2 linked regions of the Elephas maximus indicus genome follow. The protein of the gene in region 1 interacts with the protein of each later gene in a biochemical or structural test. Links are inferred from orthologs where the notes say so. Each region holds a gene or a part of one and is shown in the gene's direction. Other genes may lie near its edges.

Region 1 (15,752 bases):
CCTTGTAAGCCACGATAAGCAATTTGATGTTATTCTGTAATTAGCAGGAAGCTGTCAAATGGCTCTAGGAAAGTGCAGATTTGATCAAGCCCCTTTTAAAATAAATGACTGTGGACTCTGGCTGTTAGGTGGCAAAGGTATTCTTGTGGGTAAGAGAGACCAAATGTGGGACACCAGTTTGGAGACATGGTAGTCTTCCAGGCAGGCATGGTGGCTTAGTCTACAATGAGACGGTGGTACTGGAAATGGAGGGACATAGACAGATTGGAAATATTTGGAGGGCAGGGAGCCACTGGGGCTTACTGATGCATGCAAAGTGGAAAGTGAGGAAAAGGGAAAAATCAAGAATGGATACCAGGTTTGGGGCTTGAGTAATTGAGTGAACTGTGGTGCCTTTTACTGAGATGGGATAGAGGCAGTGTTATGGATTGAAATGTGTCCCCCAAAAATATGTGTCAACTTGGCTAGGCCATGATACCCAGTATTGTATGGTTGTGCACCATGTTGTGATCTGATGTGATTATCCTATGCGTTGTAAATCCTAACCACTACGATGTTAATGTGGCAGGATTAGAGGCAGTTATGTTAATGAGCCAGGACATAATCTACAGGATTAGATTGTATCTTGAGTCAATCTCTTTTGAGATATAAAAGAGAGAATGGAGCAGAGAGGAGGAGGGACCTCATTACCACCAAGCAAGAAGAGCCAGGAGCAAAGCATGACCTTTGGACTTGGGGTCCCTTTGCTGAGAAGCTCCTAGACCCAAGAAAGGATTGATGACAAGGACTTTACCCCAGAGCCAACAGAGAGAGAAAGCCTTCCCCTAGAACAGCTTCTTAAGCTGTGAGAGAATAAATTTCTGTTTGTTAAAGCCACCCACTTGTGGTATTTCTCTTATCGCAGCACTACATAACAGGCAGGTAAAGCCAGAGTGGGGCATATTATACTTGAGATGCGTGTGAGACTGCCAAGTCTCAGAGATGTCCTGTGGGCAGAATAGAGGTGTGGACTGGAGGTAGTAAGACCACCTAGAAAAGGAGTATATTGAGAATAAAGATTCGAGAAAAGTTCTGGAGAACTCCTTCATGTAACTAGAGGAGGAGGAGCAAAGGAACTGAGAAGGAGCGGCCAGGGAGGGGAGAGAAAACCAGGAGAGTGTAGTGTCACCAATGGCAAGACCAGAAGGTGTTCTCAAGAAGAGGGGAGTGGTCCACCGTGGTCAACACTCCTGAAAGGGCAGTAAAATGAGCCTGAAATGTGCCCTTTGGATGTGGCAAGATGCAGGGCATTGGTGACCTAGATGAAGACAGTGTCTGTGGTACCACCTCCTGCTCTTTCTCCTGAGCGGCAGGGACCCCTGCTGTAGGTGCTGGCCCACCCTGGCTGGCCTGCTCATCTTAGCATTTCTCTTGCTGCTTGCTGATGCCCTTGGTATTCCTCCTGCTATTTTGTGGACTGCTTTTCTTCTCCACTGGGAGTGAATATCTCGAGGGCAGGACGACATCTGATTTAGCCTTCGCGCCCCTAGAATAGACTTCATCCCTGCATCCATTCAGCGAACATTTAATGAGCACCTACCGTGTGCAACGCATCTTGTGGACCCTTGATAACTAAATCCTTTCTATTATCCAGCATCATGACACGTGTGAAGACAGGGAACATGATTAATTGTCCCCAGACACTGGAACTGAGCCCACTAATGTCCCCACCAAAAATGGACCAGAGTGAACTAGGGGACTCCTGTGGGAGCTGGGGACAGATCCTGAAAACACAGCCATCCTCTCCCCTAGACCCTGGGTACTGAACCCTCCATGTGCTCTCCCACAGGCCCCTACTTCAGCCTCACAACCACCCTCTTTACATCCTTCCAGCCAGAGAAGGAAGCCAAAGCACTGGGCACTGGAACTACTGCACCCAGGTCACATACTGAGATGGGAACACCCAGAGCTGGAAACCACCTCTCCCAGCTCCGCTCCCCAGGCCACTGCACAGGCTCCCATGGGCACCCACTAATAGATGCTGCAAGGTCTCCTCCTGCAGGAAGTTCTCCGGAATGCCCTCAGTTCAGAAAGATCCCTCCTCTGACCTTTTTACATCCCCGCCCATTGCTCACCCCTTTCCTTACGCTGAACGCAGTTTTATATGCTAATTTTAAACACTATCATATTGCATGGTGAGAGTCATTCCCTTTTCAACCCTTTCAAATGTTCTGCTCAATCAAGGAGAAAGTCTCTGTTTGAAGCTGAGGTGTCCTTAACACCTCTCGTATTTGCTGCTCTTTTTAAACAGAAAGAGATCAGGCCCCAGGCTCACAGCCTTAGGCACTGTTCTTGGTTATAAATATTTTTATGCTTCCCTTCTGTTTGTGACTGCTGATGCTGGCCTAGGGTAGGGATAGGTTTTCCTTTTCAAACAAGTGGACTTCAGTGGGACTTACGAATCATAGCGGGAGGTTGAAGGTGCGTGGCTCTCAGAGCAGAGCAGCATGAGGGTGGCATCAGAGTCCTTCTGTGTCCCCAGTATCAGCCCTACGCGAGCCACAGCAAAAGAAGGACCCCCACCCCCAACCCCACTCCGTGCATCCAGCCTCCCATTGCCTTCTGGAAAAGTCTTTCCTTTTCCTTTGCTCACTCATCCATCTGTTTGTTTATTCAGCACACCTGGCTGTTTCAGGCCCTGTTCTAGGCTCTGGGGGAACGCTCAGGTCTTTAGGTCTGCAACGCTTCTGGCCTACCCCTTCCTCACTGCTCTGTACTTTTCCTCCTTCCTGTTTACTTATCCTAATGGATCTGGATGAGCTCTGAATTCCTAGGTGGGGTCACAAGGTCAGATAGTTACAGTGGGCAGGTTGATACCTGTGATGGTTAATGTCGTGTCAACTTGGCTAGGCCATGATTCTCAGTATTATGTAATTGTCCTCCATTTTGTGATCTGATGTAAGGGGAGTTTCCTGGGTGGTGTGGCCTGCATCCAATATATATGGATGTTCTGGCACAGCTCTCTCTCTGTCTCGACTGTGCATCTGACTTGTCATCATCTGACCCCCGGTTCTTGGGACATGAGCCAGCAGCCTGCCACCTGACCTGCAGATTCTGGGAATCACCAGTTCCCACAGCCCTGTGAGCCAGCAGCCTGCCGCCTGACCTGCCAATTTGGGTGCATCAGGCCCTGCAACCGTGTGAGTCTGACCCACGGATTTGGGACTTGCTGGCCTCCACAACTGTGTCAGCCATTTCCTGGAAATAAATCTCTCTCTTTGGAGCCCTGGTGGCATAGTGGTTAAGAGCTTGGCTGCTAACCAAAAGATCAGCAGTTCAAATCCACCAACCACTCCTTGGAAATCCTACGGGGCAGTTCTACTCTGTCCTATGGGGTCGCTATGAGTCGCAATTGACTCGACGGCAATGGGTTTCGCTTTTGGTTTGGGTTATATATATTTATATATATATATATATATACACACTTCTTCACTGGTTTTGCTCCTCTAGAGAGCCCAGTCTAAGACAATACCCAAAGGAATAAAGCCATAGGGAAGAGCTGCCCCACCCAAAGAGGGTGGCCGTCTGCCATTGCTCTGCACACACGTGAGTCCAACTGTGCTCCCTCACCCTGCTGCTCAGAGTCAGAAACCCTCATGTGTACAGGAACTCATATTCTTGCTAATCTGATACTCTGTGGGGCCCAGCATCAGTTGCCATCTCTGCCCCATCGTCTTCGGGGGCCGTCCTTGTCAGTTAGTGTCCAACTGACCCCCAGAGCATGTGAGGTCTTCCTGGCAACTCCTGGAGGACAGGGCCAAGCCGGTCCACGCCAGCCTCACTGGCACTTGTGCCGGGGCAGGCATACAGGGGCTCCTGAGGCTGCCATGCTGATTGACATGTGGATTCCCACAAGACTGATGCAAGCCAGTGACTGACGGATGATTCTAGGGAGGTTAGGCTTTCTGGGGAATTGAGAGGATGACTCTGACGTCCAGTGCCATGTTCAAACCTGGCACCTCCTGAACCATGTGCTGGTCAGCCACTCCTGGATAGATTTACAGAACCTTAGAGACAAGAGCCTCAGTGGCCCCAGGGGACCACTGGGAGGCTCACTGGTGGGCCTGCCCTGGGCTAGACAAAGTCTGATGGTTCATTGCACTTTGATGCTACATGACACTCTTGATTGCAATTAACAGGAACTCAACTCTTAACTGGCTAAATAAGTATGTGAAAATAACGTATTGGCTTTAGTATCTGGAAAGTCCCTAATAATTTGGTCTCTGCCATGATTGGATCTAGGGGCTCAAAGGATCAAAAGCCGGCCTTCCAGCTTCTCTGCCTCCTCCCTTCCCCCAGGGCTTCAGTCCAAGAAGGTTCACCCTGGGTGGCAAGATAGCCTCCTGGCTCCAGTCCACTCAGCCTAGCAACCCCAGAAAATTTTCATTGGTTCAGCTTGTGTCATGTGCCTATCACTGAACCAATCACGTGGCCACGAATGTGGTGCTCTGATTAGCCAGGACTCTCCCTTACCTGGTGTTTCTAAGAAAATGTGGCCACTGACCAAAAGGGAAGCGCCAGGGTCTTCTCTGTCCAAGCTCCTGCTCTGTCTTGCAGCTGTGCTTGTTTTCAGAGAACCCAAAATGAGGTTTTAATGAAAGCTGGGGATATGGTGGTCAGACTCGGGACAAAGCACCTTCTTCCTCAGCCCTTGCTGACGCATTCCCCACATCTTGTCACACACACCCCCTGTGCTTGGAGTGTCTTCAAATTAGTCTCTGTTCCTTGCAACCCTGAGCTGAGCCCAGCATCCACAAATGCCAGCTGCCGTCATTGTTCTATCATATACTGAGTTTAAAAGCTAACTGTAATTTTCATCAGGGCTTTTTAATGGATCCAGCCTGCTGTCTAAAGAAGTGTTCACTGGACTTCCTCCCCTGTGTAACAGGCTTTTAGGCCAGGCCTGGGACCATCCATTGGTTTGCCAATCCTGTCCCTGTAAGCCCCCCTACCACACGCGGTAGCATGAGCTCAGTTTGAGCAGCAACCAAGCCTTGGGGAGCACGGATTTGGGCCCTTGACTCTAGCAGTCCTGGCAGACGAGTGTAGACAGGTTTCCAGGGCTGAGGGATGGCTGGAGCCAAGCCTCCCGGGCTTTCCCACACTCTGGTTCCCCAGCGCTGTGCTGCAGCAGCTCTGGGCAGCCTCTGTGGTTGACAGTCATTGTCTTTTGTGCATGTCTTTTGCATCTGGCTTCTTACATTCAATATTATGTGTGTGAGATTCATCCATATTGTTGTGTATTTCAGAGGTTTGTTCTTTTTTTATTGTTGTGAAGTACTCCATTGAATGAATATGCCAAAGTGTATCCATTCTACTGCTGATGAACATGTCAGCTGGGATATTGAGCACCTGACCTCTCATGCATTGCTGGTGAGAGAGCCAATTGCTACAACCACCAAGGAAAAGGGTCTTGTTTATCTCTGTTATCCTTATAACTATGTGCCAGGCACCGTACTAAGCGATCACCTGCGTTATCTCACTTAATCCTTGCAATGACCCAGGAAGCAGATAGTTGCCATCTGTTAAAGAGGACAATCATAGGACCAACATTAGAGCGCCACTGTGAAGTTTCACTGGGATCACGCTTTGATGGATTTAGACCAATGCTGCCATCTTGGAAGTGCTGTTTACGATACCTGCTGTGAGTCAGAATCAACTCCACAGCACACAGTAACAGCAATTGTCATTACCAAAGAGCACAAGGATCAGGAGCCTGGGTTCCATGCCCACCTAAGAAGCCAGCCTACACAAGTCACCTCAGCTGCCCTAGCCTCAGAGCTCCTGGGAACTCATGAATCTGCTGACGAGGATCTCTGGGGAAGACACAAGACCTGATCTTCAATAAGATCCAGGCTCTAACTTCAAGGAGCCAGCCACTGAGGGAGGGAGGAAACACTGAGACTGAACCAGGAAGGGCCTGAGAGTATTCAGGAGCCCTCTGTTAAACCCTCCTTCTAGAAGTTGAGTACAATTACCAGTGACAATTGTTCAATACCTGTCTCTCCCACTAGCACGTAGGCCCCACAAAGGCTCGGGCAGGGTACATTTCATTCATTCATTCAAAAATATGATTTAGGGGTCTCCCCTTTTTTTTTTTTCCTCCCCAGACATTATGCCAAAAGCTGGGGGATACAGCTGTGAACTAGACAGACAAGACAGCAAGGGGGACATTGACCAAGGAAACAAAGAAGTGGCCTCTGCGAAGGACCACAGCAGGGCAGTGAGATGAAGGGAACTCCTGCGGAGACAGGAGTGCTCTAGATTAAGTGGTCACTAAAGACCTCTGATGCAGTCCTGGTGGCACAGTGCTTAAAGCACTCGACTGCTAACCAAAAGGTCGGTGGTTCAAAACCACGAGGGGCACCAACGGGAGAAAGATGTGGCAGTTAGCTTCCGTAAAGATTCACAGCCTTGGAAACGCTATGGTGTCGGCTATAAGTCGGAATCCACTCCATGGCAGTGGCTTTGAGTTTGGCTGAAGACCTCCAAGGCTTCTTGGGGGGATGAGCACCACAAGGGGTCCAGGCGAGGGGAAAACAAGTTCCAAGGCCTTGAGGTAAGAAAGGACAGAGGGTGGCCGCTGCAGCGGTGGGGAAAGGCTCAAGGAGGTCTGAGAGGGAGAAGAGGGGCGGCTTATTCGGCGCACTGCAGACCAGGGTAGGGAGTGCGGATTTGAACCTAAGGTTGATGGAAACCCCGCGTCCGAAAGGCCTTTTGGTGGGGGAGGGGCATTCGTGGAGGGCCACATGGAAGGCGCTCGAGTATTAATTGAATGAATAAATGCACAGATAGAGGGACCGACGAGAGCCGACACGGCGCCAGGACAAACAGCTGGTGCACAGGCGGCCCCAGACCCGCGGCCAGAAAGGGCCGGCAACCACGCGCTGTGACCTTGGACACGTCCCCGCCCGGACCCGGGGCCCGGAACCGTGCCTGCGTCTCGAGGGCGGGGAGGACGTGCCTGGAAGGACTGGGCGCGCGCGCGCAACGGGCCGACGGGCGGCGGGGCCTCGGCGACCAGCAGCCTCCGGCATCCGCGGGTCCCGGCGCGAGCCCTAGCTGTCCGCCGTGTTTACATTCCACCCGCGACGGCCACGCGGCTCCCAGCAGCTCAGCGCCGCGCCGCCCCGCCCCCTGAGCTCCGCGGCCCGCCCCTCGGCGGCGCTCGCGCCAGACTTCTCCCGCGTTCCGCCCGGCGCGGGCTCTGCCGCTCAGGCCCCGCCCCCGGCGCGGCCCCGCCTCCCTACCGCGCGCGCTCTGGCTCTCCCGCGTCCCGCCCGCGCAGAGCCGCAGCTCGGGCCCCGCCCCCGCCCAGGGCCCCGCCCACCGCGCCCGCGCCTGTCCCTCCGGCGCGCAGGCCCTGTCACTTAGCCCCGCCCCGGTCCCGCCCCGGGGAGGCCCCGCCCCGGCCCCTGGCCCCGCCCCGCGCGGCCCGGCTCTCCTCAGCTGGCTGGCGCGGAGGCGGCCGGGGCGGGGCCGAGGGCGGTGGCGGGGCGGGGCGGTCCCCTCGGCGGCCGCTGAGGGGCTCGGAGCGGGGCGGGGCGGGGCGGGCCGGGGCTGGCGGGAGGGCGCGGGGGCGGGCCGGGGGCCGGTTCCGCGCGCAGGGATTTTAAATGTCCCGCTCGAAGCCGGGCGCAGGAGCAGCCGCCTCGGCAGCCAGCGCGGTGTAGGGGGAGGCGCGGATCCCGCCGCCGCGCGCTCGCCGCCGCCCGCCTCCCGGCTTCCCGCTCGCCCGCCGCCTCCCGCCTCGGCTCGTGCCGACGCCCGCCGAGGAGCCGGCTTCGGGTAGGGCTCCGCTGCGGGCTGCGGGCTGAGGGCCGGGGTCGTCAGCGCGGGGTCCCCCGGGGAGGGCCGAGGGAGAGGTGCTGCGGGGAGACTGAGGCAGCCCGGGCGCCGAGGCAGGCGGGACGCCGGCGGGCTTTCGGGGGGCGCCCGGGGCCCGTCAGCCCTGCTTCGAACCCGGGATCGCGGGCTGTTGGCGGCGCCGCGGGTGACAGGCCACCCCGGGCCCATCGGCCATTTTCCCGGCCGGCCCAGGAGGCTCCCGCCGCCGCCCGCGCGGGAGGGGGAGGGGTGCCGCGGCCGCCTGGCCCGCCGCCCGCCCGCCCCTCCGCCTCACCCCTGCCCGCGCCGTGCCCCCCAGGCCCGGTCGGAGCCGCCCTGCGCCATGCCGCGGGAGAGGAGGGAGAGGTGAGTGCCGGCGCGGGGGGGGGGGGAGGGGGAGGGGTGGCGGGCGGGCGGGACGGGGGCTCACCCGGCCGTGGTGCCACCACCCGCTTTGCAGGGATGCGAAGGAGCGGGGCACCATGAAGGAGGACGGCAGCAGCGATCTCTCTGCTCGCTCCAGGAAAAGGAAGGCAAATGTGGCCGTTGTGAGTACAAAGGGGACAGGTGGGGCCAGGACCCCCCGTCTTACCTGGGTACCAGGCTGGGCTCTGCCCACAAACTTGTCCAAAGGGGCTTAGGCGGGGGATGCCTTTGGCAGAAATGGCGCTCATGACCTAATCAACTTTCTTTTCTCTCTCCCTCTCTCTCTCTCTCTCTCCCTCTCTCCCTCTCTCTCTCTCTCTTTCTCTGTGTGTTTTGTCTCTGGGTTGTTTGGTGTGTTTCTGTGTGTGGGGGTTGTTTTACCTTAGTTTTTGCAGGATCCAGATGAAGAAGTCGCCACAATTGAGAGGACTGTGAGAAGCCAGTGTGGCAGTCAGGTACATGTGCTCGCTGACCTGGTCCAGCCGGAGGGCCTCCCCCTCTCCACGGTCAAGTTGGGTTTATGCCCTGCCACCTCCTGCTGAAGGTCTTTTCTCTAATTCCATACAGTCCACACAGCTGAGCACTGTGCCTGCCGGTGGGCACTGGCCTCTGCCAGCCTTGGGCTTCCAGGAAGGTCTTGTGCTCCTGACCAGCACGCTCTGAGATTATAGATACGTGCTGTCTGGAAGAACCAGAGCGGACACTAAATAACTCAGTCCTTTCCTTTTACCCAGGAGTCCTGGGTGGCCCAAACAAACTGAAAGGCTGGCAGTACAAACCCACCCAGAGGCGCCTCTGAAGGAAGGCCCGGTGGTCCTCTTCCAAAAGATCACAACCTTAAAAACCCTATGGGACAGTTCTACTCTACAACACGTAGGGCTGCCACAAGTCAGAAGCGACTCAGGGCAACGGGCTTGGTTTTTTGTTTTGGGTTTTTTTTTTTCTGTTTTTACCCATGAGGAAACTGAGGCCCAATTGTAGGAAGAAAGTAATCCAGGGATGTATACAGGCTGGGGGCAGAGTCAGGCCTGCAGCCGTGTCTCTAAAAGCTCACGAAGGACGGAAGGTTCTGGACACAGAACTCTCAGGGTGACTGTGATGATGGGTGCTTGTGTGTGTTTACAAGCACTGACTTCCCCACCCACACTTAGATTGTTTTGTCACAGGGGAGTTTAAGGACCTTTTTTGCTGCCCTGCCCCTACCCCATACTTAGGTCCAGTTTCAAACCTTCCACCTATTCTGGCCGTGGGAGTTCCTCCAGCCCATCCAGCAGTTAACCACTGTGATCAGGGCTCATCCTGATCTCATTCTGTGTAATGATGTGTGTGTCTCCACACATTTCTCATTGACTGGTCCATTTCTCTCGTCCCTCCCTTAAGTAGTTTCTGTCGAGTTTCCTGCATATAGGGTGCCGTCATAATATCAGAGATTCTTTGCAGCGAAAACTTGCATTATCTCTACACCCAGAAATGGCTGAGACTATAGTTAGCGTTCCACTAGGGGAAGCAATCTATCTCCAAACTAGCTGGTCAGGCCTGACGCTATCGCAGATAAAAGCTGCGCGGGAGTAGTTTTCAAGCTGTGTATGCGGTCCTGCCTGGGTCAGGGCAGCGAGCAGTAGCCACGGCAGCCGGGCTGGGAAGAGTGAAGGGCTTCAGAGCTGATGGGCCGCACTGTTTGCAGCAGCATTCGTCACTGCACTGACCTTAGTATCAGGCATTTCTGGGGCAGATCTGCTGAATATTCAGCAAGGGTGGAGGGTTTCTTTCTCTGTTAGAAGAAAGAGTTTAGGAGAGGGAATGGACGGCACATCCTAAGTTCTTTCTCCCCCTTTTATGCCCCTAAAGAGAAAAACTTCTTATCAAGCAAGTGGATTTCCGAGGTGTTATAAAACGAACCCCTACTTGTAAGAATCAAAATTGTTTATTTTCTTAGCTGTGTTTCAAATGGAAAGGAACTTTGCAACTGAAGGTAAAGCAAAGCCCCCCATGTTGACTTCTTGGTGCAGTTTCTAGGGTGCCTAAGACAGGGCCCTGTCCTGGCACTGCGGAGCATTGATAGCTGGGATACGTGAATAGCCATATTATTTCCCACTAGAAAGCATTTCGTGGTTGTCCAGAGACTCATGAGAACAGGTTTCTGTGTGTTTGTAGAGTAGATAGCCTGAAATTTATCCATCTGTTATGGAACAATGTCTTTGTTATTTCTGTGTAGATTCATGAAGCTAGAATTTGAGGACACAACAGAACCTTTTTAACTATTAATTACACAGAATTTTCCTCAGGAGTTATTTCAGCGGGCCAGTCATGAGTATAGGACAACACTCTGGTATAGCCCAGTACAACAACCCAAGTTTCCTGGAGCCGTCGTGCCGAGTGTGACTGCTTCATCAAGGCCGTCCTTAGTGAAAAAGTGCCTTTTGTCTAAAGTCCAAGGAGCTCTGGTGGAGCAAACAGATGAATGCTTGGCTGCTAACTGAAAGGTTGGCGGTTCGAACCCACCCAGCAGCTTTGCAGGAGAAAGACCTGGCTATTTGCTTCTATAAAGACTACAGTGAAGAAGACCCAATGGGGCAGTTCTACTTGGTCACATGCAGTTGCTATGAGTTGAAATGTACAGCACCTACCAACAACATCTAAAGTCCATTTAGCATACATACCCATTTCATTGTTTTATTTCTTGCACATGACCCAACATTAGTTTTGGAGCAGAGTCTGGGACTTTGCTAATTCTCAGAAAATCATTTGGCACAATGTAATTCTATCCTTAGTTGTGGCATAAGACATCAGGGATGGTTAGGAGTAGTCACAGTTGGTCTCTTGCTGTTCTCCCATTCTTTCCTAAAGCCAGTCTGATCTTTCTTCCTTTGAAACTTGGTGTACGCTTCAGGCTAAAGACTTAGACTTCATTATCCTGCTTCTTCTGGAAAAGGCCAGCTTTGGGAACCGTTTGTCTGCGTGTGGTTCACCTGACTTGTCTGTGAGCTGCAGGTTGGGAACTGCTGCCGGTTTACCACCAAAGGCCTGCTCAGCTGTGCCAGCCGCCTGGCTGTCGAGGGGGGTACCAAGCTTCTGCCTTCAAAACTAAGCTTCAGTCTCTTCTTGTATGAAGAACAAAGTGAATTTAGAGCAGTTGTAATGTGATCTTCTCTGAGTCAAGGAAATGCCACCGGCACATGGTATTAGAGCTGGGGAGGAGGGTGCCCTTCTCGCACAGCTGTTGGCAGGCGCTGGGATGGACGATTTGTCTGCCCGCTTCTCTGCGCATCAGGTGGTGAAGAGCTTTCTCACCTTGCCTATCTCAGGAGACTGAAAGTGCTCAGGTGTCCTTGAAGGTGGCCAGTGTGCTATGATGGCCACTGTGGACCTTATCTTCCACGTGGCATGTAGAGCCCAAGTCCTCAGGGTCATTTATGGTCATCTCAGGTGTCTTTTTTTTTTTTTTTTTCTAGTCAACGTTAATGGCCTTTCTGCATTAAAAAAAAAAAAAAAAAAAAATTGCCAAGAGTCTAAAACTTCCATTGCTGGCAAGATTGTTTCCTGCCATATCTTCAACAAAATCATTGTGTTATAACTTTAAAAATTAAACATAGGCTTCTTTTTATAGTATGAAGTTCAGCAGAGCAGTTTAGAGGTAGCTTTAAAAAAGAAAATTTTCCAAATGGTGCAATGACCTTAGTCTTTTCCAAACATGGAGAATTGAATAAAATTAAGTATTTGAAAACTTTAAAAGAAAAGCATATTGGCTTGGTTTTTAATGATTCATTGATTTAGCAGGTATTTGAGTCTTACTTTGTATAGGGCTCTGGGTTCAGGTGTCTTTAGGATTTTGCCACAGAAACGAGTAAGTGTGGAAAACTGGACAAAAATTTCAGTTTGCACCCAAGTTGTTTTCTTTGATCTGTCTTTACCGTGTCCCATGGCAGTTTTTTTTTTTTTTTTTTAATGTAATCAGTATCTAAGCTCTTTTTTTTTTTTTTAAGCTCTATCTGCATGAACGTCTTAGTATAACCCGGGATCGTTGCCTGATTAGGTTTTTTTTTTTTTTTGCACTGATTTCGTTTTGCTTTGAATTAAGGAAAATAGAGGATCTTCACTGTGTAGCATGTTTGGCTCTTCCTGTAACTAAGGGAGGATATCACATCCTATGTGTTCTTGTTTCAAAATGGAGGAGTCTAATGAGAATGGCAGTTGGTGTATATGTTTGATCTTTTATAGTTTTCTGTGTTACACTTTTAAGAAAGTTTAGCAGATGAATTATACTTGATAAAAAACAAATCTTTGGCTTGTGACAAAATAATCCCTGAGTAGGGCCGTCCCTGGATGGTGCAGACGGTTAAGCGACTCCCGTACTAGATGAAAGGTTGGCAGTTCGAACCTAATTCATCTTTTTTCATCATAGTTTAAATAGTTGCAAAGATTATGTTTCTCAGAATATCGTAAATATTGATAATTGATCTTTGCTAATTAAATTACTTTAAAATGTATCCAGTGGAGTACAAATATCAGCTACTTGATAGCCACAATCATAAATTTTAAGAATATATGAACAAGCATATCTAATAGCCAGAGGTGCCTCAGAAGACAGGCCTGGCAATCTGCTTCTGGAAGGTCAAGCCTTGAAAACCCTGTGGAGCACAGTTCTACTTTGCACTCATGGGTCACCATGAGTTGGAATCGACTCAATAGCGACTACAAATGACAACAATCCCATAGTATTTCTTTTTCCTAAGCAATTGCAGAAGTCATGCCTAGTATTTTACTGAGCTATAAATGGATTTGTCTGTCTTTTTTTTTTTTTTTTACTGTAAGAGCTATTGGCATTTTATTTTACCCTTCTGTTCATTTTGTTGTTCAAGTACCCCATATAAGGTGGTAATGTGGAAAATATTCTTAGGTATTTACTTGTAGACTCCTAAGCTGATGAAATAAAAGCTTGACATCATCTCTGTGGCTTTTACTTACCCATCTCCATCTCACTTTAGGCCTGAAGGCTATTCTCCAGTGGGATATTTTTTTTTAATACTGGCCAATCTACAAATCAGTGAATGTAAAAATAGCCATTGTACATCAGGCACCAAAAACAAAATGTGTTTGTCTTTTATAGCCTTGGGACAGTAATGCAGCCTGTGCAAACCCCTGCTCCCTGATCCCGACACCTGACAAAGAGGAGGGTGAGCTGGCATACCCACATTCCGCCTACGAACCTCCGAGTTTCGCGCCAACGAGAGCCTCACCACTGCCAGTTCTGAAGTAAGTGTCGCTGTACACGTGGCATCCAGACCTTCCACTCCGTGTCGTCACCGTCCCCTCCCTCGTCAGTCTGGGTGCTTTCTAATACTCGTTTATGTTCGGTAGCTGGGCAAATAGAGACGAAGTGTGGAATATCATGCTAAACAAAGAAAAGACCTACTTGAGGGATAAGCACGTCATGCAGAGGCACCCTCTTCTGCAGCCGAAGATGCGCGCCATCCTTCTGGACTGGCTCATGGAGGTGAGTGGAGTCCACCCTTTAACTGGAGGTGTTGACTGTTTCTAGAATATTCTGCACCGTTATGATCTCTGCGTGTTTGATTCCATTCCGTGTTTTTGAAGCTGTGGTATATTGCGGTGATCTTCTAACTCTTTTACTTGCTTCCTTCCTTAAATGAATTTCTGCAATCTTTTTACTCCTGAGATGATTTTGTTCTTGTTGGGTGCCATCGAGTTGATTCCGACTCAGAGTTGACGGTAATCTTTTTTGTCTCCAAGGTTAAATAGTTGCAAAGGTTATATTTCCCAGCATATTGTAAATATTGATAATTGATCCTTGCTAATTACTTTTGAATGTATCCAAAGGAGTACAGATATCAGCGACTCTATAACCAGGGTCATAAATTTTAAGACTATGTGAACAAGCGTATCTTTTACAGTCAGAAATTTTACATTGTTCGTTTTTACTCTCTGAAGTCCATTCCCCTTTCCCTGTAGGATTTTGTCCTCCCAAAATACATTGTTTACATCTTTTATCAGTTACCTCACACTTCCCTGCAGCAATCACTCAAAATAATAAGTATTACTAATTTTGATAGATAATTGTTAAACATAAGAAGTGAAGTTTTTTTGGCAGCACACCTCTTTCTGGAATGAACCGTGGGTGGCTTACAGGGCCTGGCTTAAGGAAGGCTTCCCAGACGCCATTGTGAGACTTGGGGTGGCTGGGGGTGGGCTTTCCTGTGAGTGGAAGAAAAGCATGTCAGGCAGACCCGTTCCATGGAAGGGTATGCATGGAAGTTGGGAATCCAAACATTCCCCAAAACTGTGCTGTGTACCCTTTGAAAAGCCTGTATTCCCAGGGTGCAAGGGTTAAGAGCTTGGCTGCTAACTCAAAGGTTGGTGGTTTGAACCCAGTAGCGGCTCCAAGGGAGAAAAGACCTGGCGGTCTGTTCCCCTAAAGATTACAGCCTAGGAGGCCCTATGGAGCAGTTCTACTCTGTCATACAGGGTCACTGTGAGTCGGAATCGACTTGACGGCACACAACAGCATGTGTACCCTGGTTTCGCTAGTCCTAGAATCAAACGCCCCACTGCCACTAACCATCTGTGTGCCCCTGGTCTGGCAGGTCATTTAACGCTAAGTCTTAGTTTTCTCATCTGTAATGTTTTCTAGCAGCGTTTTCCTTGCTGAGTTGGTTAGGATGGAAAACAGCGTCTTCCAAATGCCACGTACATAGTTTGCTTTTCTTTGTTGCCCCCTGAGAATGTCGACGTTTTCTGCACTGCGTGCATTGCAGGCCTGCTTTTAAATTACAGGCCCTGCAGTTGCGCCCCCAGCCCCGCCCCGCGTCGTAGAGCCCTTCAGTGCCCTTTGGAACTTACATGGTTTCTTGAAGCCTTAGGTATAATATGTTTTAATCTCTCGGGCTTCAGTTCATTCCCCTAAAAAGACTGCGAGGTTCTATTTTGTATAATCAATTGATGCCATTAGGCTTTGAAGGAATGTTTTTTTTCTTAAAGGCAATCAAAAATCATGTAATATACCATTGAGAGGATAAAAAAGGATGGTTACCTTTATGTCTTTAGTGGGACAAGCCTGGAGCCCAGGATTCACAGGCCTGCTTGTCTGTGATGATGTTACGTTTCTCCACCCCCAGCCCCGCTGAGAATCTGTGTGAGATAAAGGCAGTGGGCTGGGCCAAACAGGTCTGAGAGGTCCTTAGAGAACAGAAGGCTTAGTTTCACTTCTAGTCAGGTTGTAGTTGTTTCTTTATAAAAACTGAGGCTAAATATAATATGGCTCAGCCTACGCTTCAGAAATAGTCTTTGGTAATTGATGAAATTTTCTTATTAATATTCTGTGGGTTGTTTCTCCAGCTCTTTTTCTATTATTAATCCCCTGAATTGCAGTCATTTAAGATGTCCTGTTTAGTAATGGCAGTGTTGATGTATAGTGTTATGTGTCTACGTAATCAGATATTTGG
Region 2 (15,853 bases), on another chromosome or scaffold:
ATCTTCACAGAATGGCCCCAGTCTTTACAGAAGGGGATCGTTAGGTCTTTCTCCCGCAGCACCACTGGGTGGATTTGAACTGCCAATGTTTATTTTAACAGCCAAGCACATATCACTTGCACTACCCAGGGACCTAGCCAGGGGAAGAGTGGGAGAAAAAGTTCTCAAACTTCTCCAAAGAGAAAGGGGACTTTACAGACCAGCCTCATTGCCTCAAGCTTGAGTCCAGTCCATTTCCACTGGGGGGTGGGCAGGGTTGGATTCTCAGAGGCCCTTTCTAAATCTGCTGCCTTCAGGATAACATCCAAATTCCGTCCACAAACATTTGTTCTCATAGACTATGAACCAAGCTCTATGCTGATGCTAGAAACCAGATGCTGCAATGCCCAGGTAGAGTCCCCGGCTTATCCAGGAGGCCTGAGGCTATTCCCTCCCTTAATGCCTGATTTCCGCCCTCTAGGGGCTCCTCCATTTTGAGATAAGAAGAAAATCTGGAGAGTGTTGTCCTGAAAGCCAAGCATGCAAATACAGTTTTCAGCTGTATCCCCTGCTACTAATGGGCTGCTGCTGCCGGAGTAAGATGAGGACTGGGAGTTGGTCAGTGGGAGTTGATCACTGGATTCAGCAAAATGAAAGTCCCTGGAGAATTGAAGGAGCCCTGGTGGTGCAGTGGTTAAGAACTCGGCTGTTAGCCAAAGGTGAGCAGTTCAAACCCACCAGCCGCTCCTTGGAAACTATGGAACAGTTTTTCTCTGTCCTATAGGGTCACTAGGAGTCAGATTTGACTCAAAGGCCACGGGTTTAGTTTTTTTGGTTTTCAGCAAAATTTTGCTATTAATGATAATAATTTCAATAATTTCTGCGTTCTGTTGGATCACCTTTCTTTGGAATGCTCATAAATATGGATCTCTTCCAGTCAGTTGGCCAGGCAGCTGTCTTCCAAATTTCTTGACATAGAAGAGTGAGCACTCCCAGCGTTGTATCCATTTGTTGAAACATCTCATTTGGTATTCCATCAATTCTTGGAGCTTTATTTTTCACCAATGCCTTCAGCGCAGCTTGGATTTCTTCTTTTAGTACCATCAATTCTTAATCATATGTTACCTCCTGAAATGGTTGACCGTTGACCAATTTTTTTTTGGTACAGTGATTCTGTGTATTCCTTCCATCTTCTTTTGATGCTTCCTGCATTGTTCAATTTTTTTGCCCACAGAATCCTTCAATATTGCAACTTGAGGCTTGAGTTTTTTCTTCAATTCTTTCAGCTTGAGAAATGCCAAGAGCGTTCTTCCCTTTTGGTTTCCTAACGCCGTTCTTTGCACATTTCACTATAATACTTTGTCTCCTCAAGGCGCCCTTTGAAATCTTCTGCTCAGGTCATTTACTTCATCATTTCTTCATGCTAATGAATTCCAAATCTCTATCCCGAGTGCTAACCCCCCCCAAAAAAAATTTTTTTTGTGGGGGGGAGCCCACAAATACAAAACTAAGTTCATTAAACTCCTCTAAGAACTGTGCCGCCTGTTGAAATAACATCAGCATCCACCCAGGTGCTTGAGTCCTTACCTGGGAATCATTCTAGATTCCCCCCTGTCTTCCGCCCAACTCAACAACTAGTTTTCAAAATCCAGTAAGATCTACCTCCTTTATGGCTCCCAAGATCACCCTCTTCCTCTTGTCTCTGAGACCACCAGACTTGGGCTTGATCCAGGATCTCATCATTTCTCACCAGGACTGCTGAGACAGCCCCCTCCTTGTTCCTTAGGCCTCCTAACTCTCCCCCATGGATCCATCCTGCAGCAAATCTGATCTTCTGGTCCCACCCTCCACACCCTCCACTATCCACAGGTTGAGACCAAATTCTTCAGCAAACTTTAAAGCCTTCAACAATGGTCCCCTTCTTCCCACTTGGGTCCCTCATGTATGTCCTAGAACCTACCAGAGCAGCTCAGGAGTAGTTCCCAAAAAGTGCCACGTCTCTTCTCACCTCCCAGCTTCTGAAGGCTCTTTCCTCTCCTTAGAAAGCACCCCACCTCACCCCAAGTCCCCCTTTTCCAGGTACCCATAGCTTCAAGCTTCAGCAGTTTTAATTTCTTTTGGGAAGTCCCCCTCTCCCTCCCTCCAGCCTTCTCCATCTCCTTTCCTCCTCTAGGTCACCATTGGCGTCTACTATCACAGAGATAAGAGTCCTGAGTGGCACAAATGGTTAGCGCACTAGACTACTAGCTGAAAAGTTGGCGGTTGGAACCCACCCAAAGGGGCCTGGGAAGACAGGCCTGGTTTCTGAAAGGTCACAACCTTAAAAACCCTATAGAGCAGTTCTATTCTGCACACATGAGGTCGCCGTGAGTTGGAATCTACTCAAAGGCAGCTAACTACAATAACGACAATCGTGGTGATGTTTCCGTTATTACAAGAATCATTCTGCAAGATTGCATTTTACATGTAGCAGATGGGCACTCCTTGAAGCATTTTTATTTCTAGCACTGAATTAGTCCCAGTAAAAAATAGATAAACATTTATTGGATGAGTGAACGAATGCTCTTACAGGGATGTTGAATCAAATATTAAGCTACACAAAACAGGAAGGAGGGAAAGAAGCTTTCAGAGATATGACGGGGGAAATATTTGAAACAGTGGACTGGGGCTGGGGGATGGGGTCACATTTCAGACCCCAGGGATTGTGACAGAGGAGAGGTCTAAATAGCCTGAAGCTTCTGGAGGGAGCAGTGTGAGCACAGGAGAAAGGAGACAAAGCCAGAGAGGCGCATCTCTGCGAAGGATCTGGTGTTCTGGACCAAAGGGTTCAGGCTTCGGCCTGTCAGCAGCGCTGCTCAAACTAGAGGTGTGTCATGACTTTAATTTTAGTGGCTTATAACCAGCTTTTTTTTTTTTTTTTTTACGTGAACTAGCATAAAATAGAAAACAGTGTATTGCGTGTAGTGTGAGTAAATGATGCATTGAGAAACTTGGTGCATGTGTGTTCTAGGTTGCGGGTCCAAATGTGTGGAAGCGCCTTCTTTATGCAATGGAAGGTCCTTGAGAAACTTTAAGCAGAGGGAAGGGAGAGGAAATCAGGTATGCATTTACAAAGGTCACCTGGGTGTCAGTGCTAGTGGAAGGCTTGGTGGGGAGAGAGAGGGGGTCATATGGGGGTGCCATTTCCTATCAAGAGGACTAGGGAGGGTAACAGGTTTGTAAGAAGAAAAAGTGAAGTCGATTTGGGGCACGTAGAATTTGAGTTGCCAGTGGGCCTTTCTAGGTGGATTCAGATAAAGGGTTGAAGTTCCGGAAGGAGATTCCAGTGGGAGATAGGGACTTGGGAGTACTACGGGATAAGGCAGGAGGGTAGGGCAGGGCTGGGGGTGGGTGAGATGGCTCAGGAAGCACCTGTGAAGGAATGATGGGGGCTTCTGCTGGAAAAGTTCACATCTCGGAGCAAAACATTTAGCTATAGGCAGCAATTAGCCTGTGCTCAGAATGCAATTCTAAAAGCTCAGTACCCAGCACAACCCAGGATAAACACAAATTCTGTATTAGAGCTGTGTAATCTCTGGGTGTCAGGGAGTTCAGTGGTTTCCAAACCTGGCTATGTTTCAGAATGATCCAGAGAGCTTTCTGAATATACAGATTCCAGGAGCGCACACCAAGACTACGAAATCAAAATATCCAAGGGAGAGAGAGGCCAGGGGTTCAATATTTTCCAAAAAGCTCTCCCAAGTGGTAACCATAATAATAAAAAAAAAAAGTCTGCTGATACGGAACCATGTCCAAGATATTTGAAGTGGAAAACAAAGCAAGGTTCAGGACTGTGTTCATATGTTATTGCGTGTGTGAAAATTTTTTTAAAAGTGTGCTTGAGAGAATATGTATTGGTTTTGTTAGCATATAACACAAACTCTTCCAAGGAGACACAAAAAATTGGCCTCAGTGGTGACCTCTGAAGAGGAATACAGGGTAGCTTGGGACAAGTGTGGCAGAGAGAATTTTTTACCCTAGGCCTTTTTAGTATCATTTAAATTCCTACCAAATGAATGGATTACCTACTCATTAAATAGCTAAATGAAAGTTAAAGCTCCCCAGAGGATTCGGATGGAGACTCAGAACCTGGAAAGCCCCAGTTCCAGGTGCTCCTCCTTGTCTCTACAATATCAAGGACAATGGTTGTCAGCCTCCTGCACCGCTCATTCCATCTTAGAAAGCCTAGTTCTGACCTTCCTTCTCAGTGCTCAGCTGAAGCCCTGTAGCCTCCAGGGAGGCCCAGGCTGTCTCCACAGCAGACAGATTGAGAGAGACATACCATTTGCCCTTGAGTCAACTCCACCTCATGGCGATCCCATCTGTGTCAAGGTAGAACTGTACTCCGTAGGGTTTTCAATGGGTGATTTTTTTGGAAGTAGACTACCAGGCCTTTCTTCAGAGGCACCTCTGGGTGGAACTGAACCGCCAACTTTTCTGTTAGCAGCCAAGCAAGTTAACTGTTTGCACCACCCGGGGACTCTGAGAGGAGAATGGGCCTGTGTAAAACATTGTACTGGAAAGGAATGTTTCCATTTCTATAGAAAATAAATCTTATAGATTGATTGGGAAAAAAGTCTAAAAAATTTCCAAACCACACATGTAATGTTTTGGGGTGTTTCTTTTTTTTTTTTTTGGTTTTGTTTTTAGCAATAGAAACTCCTTCAAACAAAATATACAAGGTACAGCAATATATAATGTAGATTTAAAAGCCAAGCTACTGTGGTAGCAGCTTGGCAACAGGAGGAGCCTAGACCCCCAATGGGGCCCTTCACTGCCTGAAAGACACAATTGTGGGCCATCACCCTCACTGTCCACAGGGAGAATCTGAGGCCTACTTTCCCCTCCACATCATCCCTGTCCAGTTCAAGCCACGACCATCTCATACTAGGCCTGTTGTTATTCCCTCCAAACTGGCCTCCCCAGCTGTACCCTAGCCCCTCTCTAATCTATCCTCTACAATGTAGCCAGGGCTATCTTTTTAAAATGTATGTGTAAGCCCTTCAGTCACTTCCCCTTACTTTTGGGATGAAGTCCAAATTCCAGAATGTGGCTCACAAACCCTGGTAAAGCCTGGTCGCTGCCCACCTCCCCAATCTCCTCTCTCTTCTTGGATCCTTCCAGCCTTAGGGTCTTTGCACAGGACTTGTTCCTCTGATCAGAACACTCTTCCTCCACCAAATAAGGACTTATCCTTCTGGTCACTTCCTCAGGAATTCCTTGATCTACAAGGCCAGATTAGATTCCCTTAAATGCTCTCAGAGCACTCATACTTTTTCTTTGTAACATGTATTCATTAACTCAACGTGTTCTGGGAGGTTCTCTTTAACTTGAGTTTGTAGAAGCAAATGTAAACATATGATAAGTGCTCTTCAGGGGTGGATGATATCCAGGGTGGGTATCAGTCAGAGTCCAAGGCTAGAACTTCCCTGGCAAGGGAAAGAAGGGTGGGTGTTAGCTAGGTGAAGGGGGAATGGGGGTAGAGATGGCACTCCTGGCAACCTCCAAGGAAACAATGACTTGTCTATTCGGGCCTAGAAAGTTGGTAGGCCCTCAGTAGAAGTCAAATGAATAACAATTGACTTGCCCCAAAGCAGAATCAGTCCTCCAGATTGACAGTGCAGAGCTCTTTCCTTCTAACACCACCCTGCGGGACTTCAGAAAGCATGCCTAAATTAATGGGGCAAAGGGGCAGTTCAATTACGCTTTTCCTTTCATAAATGAAGATAGCCCCCAAACATCATACAAATCACACTCAACTTTAGTCAACCTTTAAAAAGGAAAAAGATGGTGGCTTTGTGACATTACTGAATCCAAGCTTTTATTCCAATACTTGGACTTTCTGGGATAAATCCTTTGGAATGTTATCCCACTTGTGCCAGTCCCATTCAGGAAATGTCTGCCCAGTCAAGAAGGACCTTTCATTCCTCGATTTGATCTTGAAAAAATAGTGAACACACACAAAAAAGTTCAAAGTGTTGACAGTTGTTCCTTTAAAAGTGGTAGGAATACGGGTTTTTTTTTTCTAATTTTGTAATTATGTTGCATTGTTTGCCTAATACAAACATTTGAAAGCAGTTTTTTAAAGAACCATTTTCATACAGTGGTAGGCCCTGAGCAGGGAAGTGGTCATAATGTCCACCACGCAGTTAAAGTTGCCTGAAACAAACATGCATTCTAATAAGTAGAGTATGTTTACTCTAAAAATGCTGTTGAAAGACAAGTCCTCTTAAAGCCTGGTGGTTGTATCTATGCCCGTCTTATGAAACCATTCTAGGAGCCACCAGTGGTTGCAAGGGTTTAAAAAGAAATACAGTCACCTATTCAATTAGGATAATAATTCCCATCTCATAGAGCTGTTGAAAGGATTAAATGGATGCAGGTAAAGCAAACGGAACAGTGGCTGGCACATAATAAGCACTGTTTACGTGTTAGCTATTATTATTTTTACTACCGTTGCTATCCAGCAGCTCCCAATGGAGTAAGAAAGGGTGAAAAGGAAATATTCTAAGACAGTATATATGAAAAAAAAAAAAAGATTCCTACTCATAATGATTCTATAGTACAGAACAGAACTGCACCATAGGGTTTCCAAGGCTGTAAATCTTTACAGAAGCAGACTGCCACATCTTTCCCCACGCAGAGCCCTGACCAACTGCACCACTAGTGTTCCTAGACAGTATATAAACCCATTGCCATCAAATGGATTCAGATTTACAGCAGAATATCCCGTAGTCCTTAAGTTGATTCTGACTCACAGAGACCCTGTAGGACAGAGTAGCAGAACTGCCCCATAGGGTTTCCAAGGAGCGCCTGGTGGATTTGAACTACCATCCTTTCTGGTTAGCAGCCATAGCACTTATCCACTATGCCACCAGGGTTCCCTTCAGTATATAAAATAGTAAGGTCTAAAATGGAAGTGGAACCCTGGTGGCACAGCGCTTAACCATTAAGGCTGCTAACCAAAAGGTCAGCAGTTTGAATCCACCAGCTGCTTCTCGGAAAGCCTATGGGGCAGTTTTACTCTGTCCTATAGAGTCGCTGTGAGCCGGAATCAACAGCAATGGGTTTGGGTTTTTAAAATGCAGTTGAGCACAAAACTCTGAGGCCACATCCTAGAGTGACTGGTAACCTTCCAGATGGAGTTAATGCCTGCACCATCTTGGCAGTAAAGAGAGTTCCTAGTACCGGAGAGAGAGAATGTGGCCTGCTCTGAAGTCCCTCTATTAACTATAGTTCAGGAAGATTAGAGTGTATGCATGGTACGGGAAAGATAAGGAGCAGCAGGAATGGCAGAGGGGAGCCCCCGAGAAGGACTGAGTGCTCAGAATAGGCTGAAGAGAATCCCAAGAAGATGTCCTGGGAGAGGGAAAGGATGAGATCGATGCAGTAGAAAACATGGCTTGGAAGAGGGAGCGACTCTGGCAGCTGAGAGACCAGCTAAAAGGCTGCTGCAGTCGTACAGTAGGAAGATGATGAGGCCTACACCCGGGCAAGGGCAGCAGGCACAGGGAGAGGTAGGGGCCAGAATCTACAGGAGCACTGTGTGTGTAATAGAAATATACCTGCGAACCGCATAGATTTTAAATGTTCAAATAGCCACAGTGAAGAGAGGTGGAAGTAATTGTAACGCTGTGCTTTTAGCCCAACAAAAATGTTATCATTTCTCCCTGTGATCAATATTTTAAATTTATTGAACTATTTTACATTTTATTTTTCGTACTACGCCTCGGAATCCGAGGTGGATTTTTACACCGAAGGTGCATCTCGATTCGCGCATGAGGCATTGAGGAACTCAAGCCCCCTTTGGCCAGCGGCTGGTGGGCAGGGCAGCCCGCGGTGTCCGTGACGGGCCGCTGGCCGGGCTGGTTAGAGCTCCCTTGGGGTCAGGAGCCGGGGAGGATGCGGGCGGGCCCGCAGGCTGGCTGGGCGTCCTTCAACTTCTGTAACTTCGTCTGGGGCCGAACAGAAGAGCAGCCCATAGTGCTGCACGGCTAGAGAAAAGGCTGGGCCCTGCTGACTCGGACGAGTCCTCTCATCTCCACATTCTCTCACGCTGTGGGGCGCGGGACACGCGGGCGTGGCTCAACGCGGGTAGGAGGTCCCCCGAAGTACACGCGGAGTGGGAACTACGCTTCCCAGCATACAACGGGTCAAGAGGGGTCCTTTGGTCTCTGCCGGGCCTCGCAGGGCCTGCTGGGAGTTTTCATTGACCTCTGAGTCCCTCTCGTTTCCACCCGCCCCCGTCACCTCTGGGCCCCGCCCCCTCAAGAGCTGGTGACCTCGCAGAGTCCCGCGAGCGGCTCCCTTCTTCTCCTCTCATTGGTCCAGCCTGGCTGCCATTCGGGGGCGGGGAGGTAGCTTACGGATTGGCGGATTCCATTTGGCGCCAACTAGGAAAAGGGGGCGGGGCACCGGCGGCCCTTTAGTGAGCCACGAAAGGCCATCTCAGCCCCAACAGCCCGGGAGGGAGGTGTGGGTTTGCTTAGTGTTCTGCGTCCCCGGATTGGGCAAGGGTGAGAGAAGAACGAAGAGTGTGTGAGCCCGGGCCGTTGCCTCGCGGCCCTCTCCCGCCCTCCTTTTCTGATCCTCAGTGTTTGGATTTAATCTTCAGGTTGCCGGCTCCCGCCCGCCCGCCGGCCTCGCGGGGGGCGGGTCGGGCCCCCGTGCGTGTGGCTGGCGCCTGCCCGGCCCAGACACCCGCCCGTCCGCGCCGCTTGCCCGCGGCGGCCGCGTCCCTAAACCGCGGGGTCGTGTTTGTGTTTGACCCGCTGACACCGGCAGCTGGGCGCGCGGCCGAGGCCGGTGTCGGCGCGGCGGGGCGCGGCGGGGCGCGGCGGGGCGGGGCGGGGCGGGCGCGGCGGAGGCGGAGAAAGAAGGAGCGGGAGCCCTGGGGAGGCCGGGTGCCGCCATGGAACTGGGCCCGGAGCCCCCGCACCGCCGGCGCCTGCTCTTCGCCTGCAGCCCCCCTCCCGCGCCACCGGCCGTCGTAAAGGCGCTGTTCGGCGCGCCAGCCGCCGGGGGGCTGTCGCCTGTCACCAACCTGACGGTCACCATGGACCAGCTGCAGGGACTGGGCAGGTGAGGAGGAGGTCAGCGGTGGGGCTCCAGGCTGTCGGTCCTGGCGGTCCCCGGGGAGACTGGGCCGGGAAACCGGCTCGGGGAGAGGCGGACCTGCCCGCCTGGGTCTGCCGCTCGGGGGCGGCAGCGCCGGCCCCAGGGCCCGCCATGTGCACCCTTTTCTCGTGAGGAATGTTGGGCGGGAGAGGCCATTCGGACCCTCCAGGGCCGGACCCGGTGTGGGGTGGGGATGGCCCCTGCTCCCCACCTTCACCACCCCTTTGGGGTTACCCTGTACCCTCCTTCTGCCTCTTCCCTATCCCAGGGAGCCCTCTGGAACCTGTCCCCACGGGGAGAAAGCAGGGCCTCCTTAGCCCTTAGCTGAACCTCACAGGATCTTAATTTCCTGTGAGCTTTGTTCCTACCCAACAAAGGGACGTGGCATTTTCTTTCCTGGTGTTTGTACAAAATTATCGCAATCTCTCCTGGCCTCGTGCGCATTCCTGTTGCCCACTCGGTTCCTTTCCCAAAGCCAGGCTTTTTTACCCAACTTTCCATACCGGAAAGCTCCGGGACTTTTTCTTAGAGTAAAAAATGCATCGTACAGTGTTTCTAATGAGGCAGCTTTTCTCCCAGCCTTGGGCATCCCTTTTTCTAACTAAGCAAATGTCTTCTTCCTTTCTAAACCTCTGAAAGGCAGAAACACTGCCCTGGTCATCTTTAATCGTCTCTTCTAGCCCAGTGCCTAGAACACATGTTCCCATTTCAGGAAATATTTCAATACTGGTCATAATCATACCCTACAATGTGGCCCAGGAGTGTGCCCACTTTCTCTTTTCTCCTCTGCTTTTATCCTCAAGTGCAAACTGGGTGTTCAGGGTGGGAAAGTGGAGCCTGGTGTGGCCTAGAAGTAATGATGGTTCATGGCAGCCCAGCCCGGCCACTTGTTAAGCTTGTGGCCTGTCTCCTGCATGTAACCTTTTAATTGAGTCCTGGAAATTTCTCTTGGTTGTAGTGAGTATGAGCAGGCACTGGAGGTGAAGAACAGCAGTCTGCAGAGGATGGGCTCCTCCGAGTCAACTGATTCAGGTATTTTCTGTCTTCAGTTACGCATTGTGTGTCTGCTGTGTAGGGGACAACACTGGGAATTTACTGAAATATTCCTCTTCACTTGGGGACTTATTGGTGAGTGGTTGAGACAGGATATGGAGAATGCAAGGCATCGGGTGACAAACACCCTTAGGAACAGCAGGAAGAAACCCCTTGTAGCAGTTTATGGAGAGACAAAACAAGTTCAAGTGTCTGCAAGGAAGTGGTGTGTGCTGGGCCTTGAAGGATGAGTAACCCACTGCCCACTGCCGTCAAGTCGATTCCGACTCATAGCGACCCTGCAGGACAGAGTAGAACTGCCCCATGGAGTTTCCAAGGAGCACCTGGTGGATTTGAACTGCCAACCTCTTGGTTAGCAGCTATAGCGCTTAACCACTACACCACCAGGGTTTCCGAAGGATGAGTAGTAAAGTAAAATTCACCATACCGTTATAAGTGTAATTCAGGACGTCATCGGTTAAAATTTGGGGTCAAGTTATTGGAAGTATAATGAAAGTATTTGAGTAAGCTTGTGGAGGAAAACCGCCACTGTATTATTCTAAATCATAAATTTATGTTACTACAGGGTTTATCTTTGCACAGATAAGAGCATTTGGGCACAGATACATTAGGTGAAAGAACTGCAAGAACAAAAGTCTTAAAATACAGGCAGCTTCTTGAGAGCTAGATATAGGATTTTTATTTGTGGCAGTGTGGGAGGCCTTTCATGAGATGGGTACCTTACTTTGGTGCCATTTTGTTGAAGGCAGCAAATATTGGCCTTACATGTCACACGACTAGTAATTGAATTTTCAAAATCCCAAATTTTCCCACGTGATTTGCCAAGATAAAATATTTGAAATTGAAACTATCCCAGAAAACCCTGATACCTGTTCTTTCTGTGGTTGGAACTGACAGTTGGAAAGTTACCTGAGTTACCTCTGAACAACCAGGCAATCATGCCGTGAATCAGTTTAACCTTTTCCTCAAAATCTGTTTCAACTGATGGTAATTGGGATTCCTAGGTAATGCAAACGGCTAATGCACTAACCGAGAGGTTGGAAGTTAGAGTCTAGTGAGAGGCACCTTGGAAGAAAGGCCTGGTGACCTACTTCCAAAAAATCAGCCATTGAAAACCCTATGGAGCATAGTTCTACTTTGACGTACATGGGATCTCCATAGTTTGGGTTTTTTTGTTTTGTTTTGTTTTGGTAGTATTTGCAAGTAGGAGAGGGAATTGATAGATTATACTACAAAAATATTCAGACTTGCGCAAATAAGATGTTTTTGACAATCAGCAAACCACAGAAATCAAGTAGAGGTTTGACTTCAGTTCTGGCAAAGGTCTAAGCTATGAGTCTTTATTGGCTGACTTATACGTAAAGTTCTAATTTTATTTATTTTTAATGACAAAATGTATTTTGTTTATGATTTTCTGAGAGATTTTTAGACACTTGCAAAGCACAAAGAACTGAAAATATTTTAAATGAAAATCGACAGGCAAATGGAAATTCTGGTTGAAGGAATGAAGGCTGCTTTATAGACCAGCTGAACTACAGTGATTAATGGCGGCTAGAAACACTTTTTTTTTTTTTTTTTTCAATTTCCCACAGGCTTCTGTCTGGATTCTCCTGGGCCCTTGGACAGTAAAGAAAAGTATGTATTCACTGCTTTTAAATGTTTGTGCTTAGAAAAAGGTTTTGTTAATTCTATAATGACATTTTTCACACTCTGGCCTAGACCCCTGGCTTTAGCTGTCCCTAGTCAACAACAATCAAACTCTGACACACATGGGGTCACCATAAGTCAGAATCAACTGGATGACTGATGGTAGTCAGACTCCTTAATCCTGCCAACATTCTTGCTATCTTTTGAGAATGAGTGGTTTACATCAGCAGTTTTCAGAACCTCTCCTCCTTTATTTTAGCTATAATTTTGATGTTCTATTCAGAGCACTCAAACCCCTACTCCACCCTATAACATCATGGCCTTAAGAAAACCTGTGCTTTCAGTCATTGTGAAGGTTCTCAGGGCAAAACAGTCACTCCCTTGAGGACTCTGAGCATTAGGTGGGACCGGTGGGGAGAGTGGGGCACAGGAGCAACTGAACTTAGTTCAGCTGTGCTTCTGTGGTGTGAGTAAGCAGTCCTTGCAAGAGGCCACTGTCACTGAAGATTAGGGATGAGGGAAAACAGACTACAGCAAAAAGCATTTCTGATCACCTCCAATGTATAATAATTCAGGGTTTTTGTTTTGTTTTGCTTCATGATTTTTGCAATTTTCTCGGGGAAGGGGGGAACCTGTGCGTTTTAAGGGAAGACCTTAGTTTGTTTTTTTCACCTAGAAACTCAATATTGGGTTTGCTTCTTTGGGAGGCTGGTCTGTGTAACTGTCCCCAGACTACAGGCTAGACACTGTTCGTCTGCTAATATGAATAAATCCTTGCTTTATTCTCATTATTTACCTTCTGGTCTAATTGCAGCCTTGAAAATCCCATGAGGAGAATAAATTCCCTACCTGTAAGTTAGTGTCCTTGTTTATTCTGAGCTAATACCTTTTCTCTGCCCCCTCCCCTCCCGCTTAGCTACCAATGTAACCTTGATATGAGATCTTAAAGGGTGAAGACTGCTTATCTATAAGCACAAGACTATGGAAAAGCACTCAAGACCCTCTACATATTCATCTCTACCAGACTTTTATCAAACCTGCCAGGGTTCTTTTTACACCAGTGATATTATTTTGGAGATGATTTGGCCTTTGCTGAGAGGAATGTAGACCTTGTCAGGTTAGGTGTAAAGCCATGTAATGAGGACCTCCAACCTGTGTTCTGGCAATATGGCGCCTTGGCCACACTTATTGGATACCTACTACTATAGTGTAAGAAGAGCTAGCCCTCCCCTCTTTTTTTTCTTTCCCTTTCTTTTGAGAACTGAATTCTCATTTATGTACCCTAATTTCCTCTTTTCATTTTGATAGCAGAAGCTCCTGGGGTGTAGCCCAGCTCTGAAGAGGAGCCATTCTGATTCTCTTGACCATGATGTCTTTCACATGATTGACCAGGATGAGAACAAGGAAAATGTGAGTATGGCATCGCTATACTAACGACTAACCCCGGGCAGAAGTAAAATCAATGACTGGCTGCTTTCTGGGAGCTGAAACCTTTGCCAAAATCAAGCATGGTCTTTGGGGTCAGAGAATCCGAGGTTTGAATCCTCCTTCTTACTCGTTGTGTGACCTTGAGCAAGTTACTTCTGTTTTTAGTTTTCACTTTCCTCATTTGTAAAATAGATGTGTTTTTTTATGACCATTGCTGGAAATAAGTGAGATAATGTATATAAAACACTTAAAATGGTACCTGCCATGTAGGAGTTACTCAGATGGCAGCTCTTAGGAATATTTATGTCCATAAATAGTCAGTCTGGGAGGGTCAGCCCAGGCTTTCCTTTTCTCTTTGCTCTAACCCTGAGAGCTCAGGAAAAGGCTTCTTGGCAGCATTTGGAAGAATTGGGTCAATAGGTTCCAGGGAATCTCAGGGTAATGGAAATGGTGGCTTAGAGGAGGAATTTCTATGATCGTCCATCTAAAAAAAAGTCTCAACACTGTGGCCTGGCCTTCTCTCTTGCATCTGGCAGGGTGCCTTGCATAGGGCAGGCATCCAAACTCACTGAATGAATTAGCCCAGGCCCTCTTTCTCACTATTTCTACATCTGTTTGTTTCCCCCCTTTTTCCATTCCCTGCTGAAATACCACAATTTATAATCCTTAAAATCTTCCACACTTACTGCAAAACCTGCTGCTTCCAAGAACTCTCCTGATGGTTCATTTGGCAACTTGAGAGATGTTTTGAGGGAGGATACAGAAATGAGTTTTTGTGGGAACACCCTGCTCTCCCTGTGTTGAGCACTTGGGCACTGCTCCAGCCTCTGTGTAGTGCTTTCTGCCACACAGGCCAAGCTGTACTGATGCCTGGCCCTACCCAGGGCTTGGCTTCTCCCAGGGTTGCCTGCCTGGACCCTTGTTCTAGAGGGGAAACTGGGTAGGTGATGGTAAAAGCGTGCCCTCTCTGGTGTCATACTTCCTAGCTTTGTGACCTTGGCCACATCATGTGGCCTATAAGGCCTAGTTTCCTCATCTGTAAAATGGGGGCATCCAGGTGGTATTTGAGGGTTAGATGAATTAATGCACAGAAAGTGCTTGGGTACTGTGGTGGCACATCAACATTATGTGATACTAGTTGTTATTGCACTGAGCCCTTAATGACAAGTTCTTAAGTGGGTATTTCAGGTAGGGCAGTGTGGTTTTTCAAATTTCTCTATAATTATACTTGTTTTCTAAACTTTGTATTGAAATCTAACATAAAATAAAATATACAGATCTCAAGTATACAGCCTGATAAATTTCTACAAGTGAGCATACCTATATAAGTACCACCCAGATCAAGATGACATGACCAAACCCCAGAGGCTCCCTTTTGCTGCCTCTCTGTCAGTAACCATCTCCCACAAAAGTAACCATTAGTCTCCGTTTTGTCACCCTACATTAGTTCTGCCTGTTTTTTAACTTTTTTTTTACACGGTATATATTCTGCCACATCTGGCTCCTTTAACTCAACATTGTATTTGTGAGACTTAGCCACAAACTGGCAAGCCAGTAGTTTTTGTTTTTGTTGCTTTTAGTATGTGATAGTTATTTGAAGCGGGAAAGGCATTTTCTTATGTGTATGAAGAGGTGAAAAATAGAAGGCCCTTAAGCATATAGTATTTATCCCAGTGTAGTGGTTTTTCTGAGATTTTTTGTTTTGTAGAGTTGGCAGATATTTGTATGTTAGGAAATAAAGTATTTGTGGTGGAGGGGGAATGCTGCTTTAGAAGTTGGTCATTGAACAGGTTACACATATCCAGTGTTAGAAGTTAGATCAGAAACAGCTCCACCCTTCATTCGGAGGCTGTTGTAAAGGTGGTGACTAGTGCCCACTCCTCTTGCCTGTCTCACCCAAGCTACAGCTGAGGCCCTAGAGCTGGTTTTCATGGACAGTAGAAGATGTCTCCGCTATACTGTCTTGCAGGAAGCCTTTGAGTTTAAGAAGCCAATCAGACCTGCATCTCGTGGCTGCCTGCACTCTCATGGACTTGAGGAGAGTAAAGATCTCTTCACGCAGAGGCAGAACTCTGCCCCAGCTCGGATGGTACGTGCCCTGACTTCCGCAGGGGAGCTGCTGAGGGGAAGCAAGAGTTAAAGCACCCTCTTTAACCTGGAACTGAAGACACTGCAGTAGTTCTTACTGTCTTTATCTTGACTTTGTCCTTTGAAACTAGGCTGTGAAACATTCTCGCTGTTTGAGACAGGCAGAAGCAGAGTGAGAGCTGTTGTGTTTGAAACATTGTACTTGAGTGGGGAAAATAATCTGCAGGCATCCTGGGTCATTCTAAGTGTGTGTATGATGGGGTTATATCTTTTACTTAAAACTTGCGCTTTTACTATGCATCCTGAGTGCTAGAGGCACTCCCCAGAGAGGGGTTTTATTTGGAGACAGCACTTGGCTTCTTCAAAGGTGGCTTATTAACAACAATGGTGAATTCCAGTGAACCACTGCCTACAGGCTGCTTGGCAGCATTTAGGGTCACTTGTCCCTGGGCTATTTATTTGTTAGTCAGAAACTGTCATTACTTCTAAAGTTTCCTACTGT

The links.
Region 2: the proteins of CCNE1 (region 1) and CDC25A form a complex in vitro, tested with the Homo sapiens proteins (2 studies listed by BioGRID). The link is inferred for Elephas maximus indicus from reciprocal best matches to the Homo sapiens genes CCNE1 and CDC25A.

The regions. Positions count from the first base shown.
Region 1 is NC_064839.1:11,548,064-11,563,815, forward strand, and holds the start of CCNE1 (G1/S-specific cyclin-E1), read left to right. Parts: upstream 1-7,763; 5' UTR 7,764-7,827; intron 7,828-8,185; 5' UTR 8,186-8,209; coding exon 8,210-8,232; intron 8,233-8,326; coding exon 8,327-8,414; intron 8,415-8,678; coding exon 8,679-8,747; intron 8,748-13,399; coding exon 13,400-13,545; intron 13,546-13,650; coding exon 13,651-13,786; intron 13,787-15,752. UniProt on the Homo sapiens protein: Essential for the control of the cell cycle at the G1/S (start) transition.
Region 2 is NC_064838.1:52,518,496-52,534,348, reverse strand, and holds the start of CDC25A (M-phase inducer phosphatase 1), read left to right. Parts: upstream 1-8,875; 5' UTR 8,876-8,929; coding exon 8,930-9,099; intron 9,100-10,093; coding exon 10,094-10,167; intron 10,168-11,780; coding exon 11,781-11,823; intron 11,824-12,649; coding exon 12,650-12,686; intron 12,687-13,143; coding exon 13,144-13,245; intron 13,246-15,232; coding exon 15,233-15,352; intron 15,353-15,853. UniProt on the Homo sapiens protein: Tyrosine protein phosphatase which functions as a dosage-dependent inducer of mitotic progression. Directly dephosphorylates CDK1 and stimulates its kinase activity. Also dephosphorylates CDK2 in complex with cyclin-E, in vitro.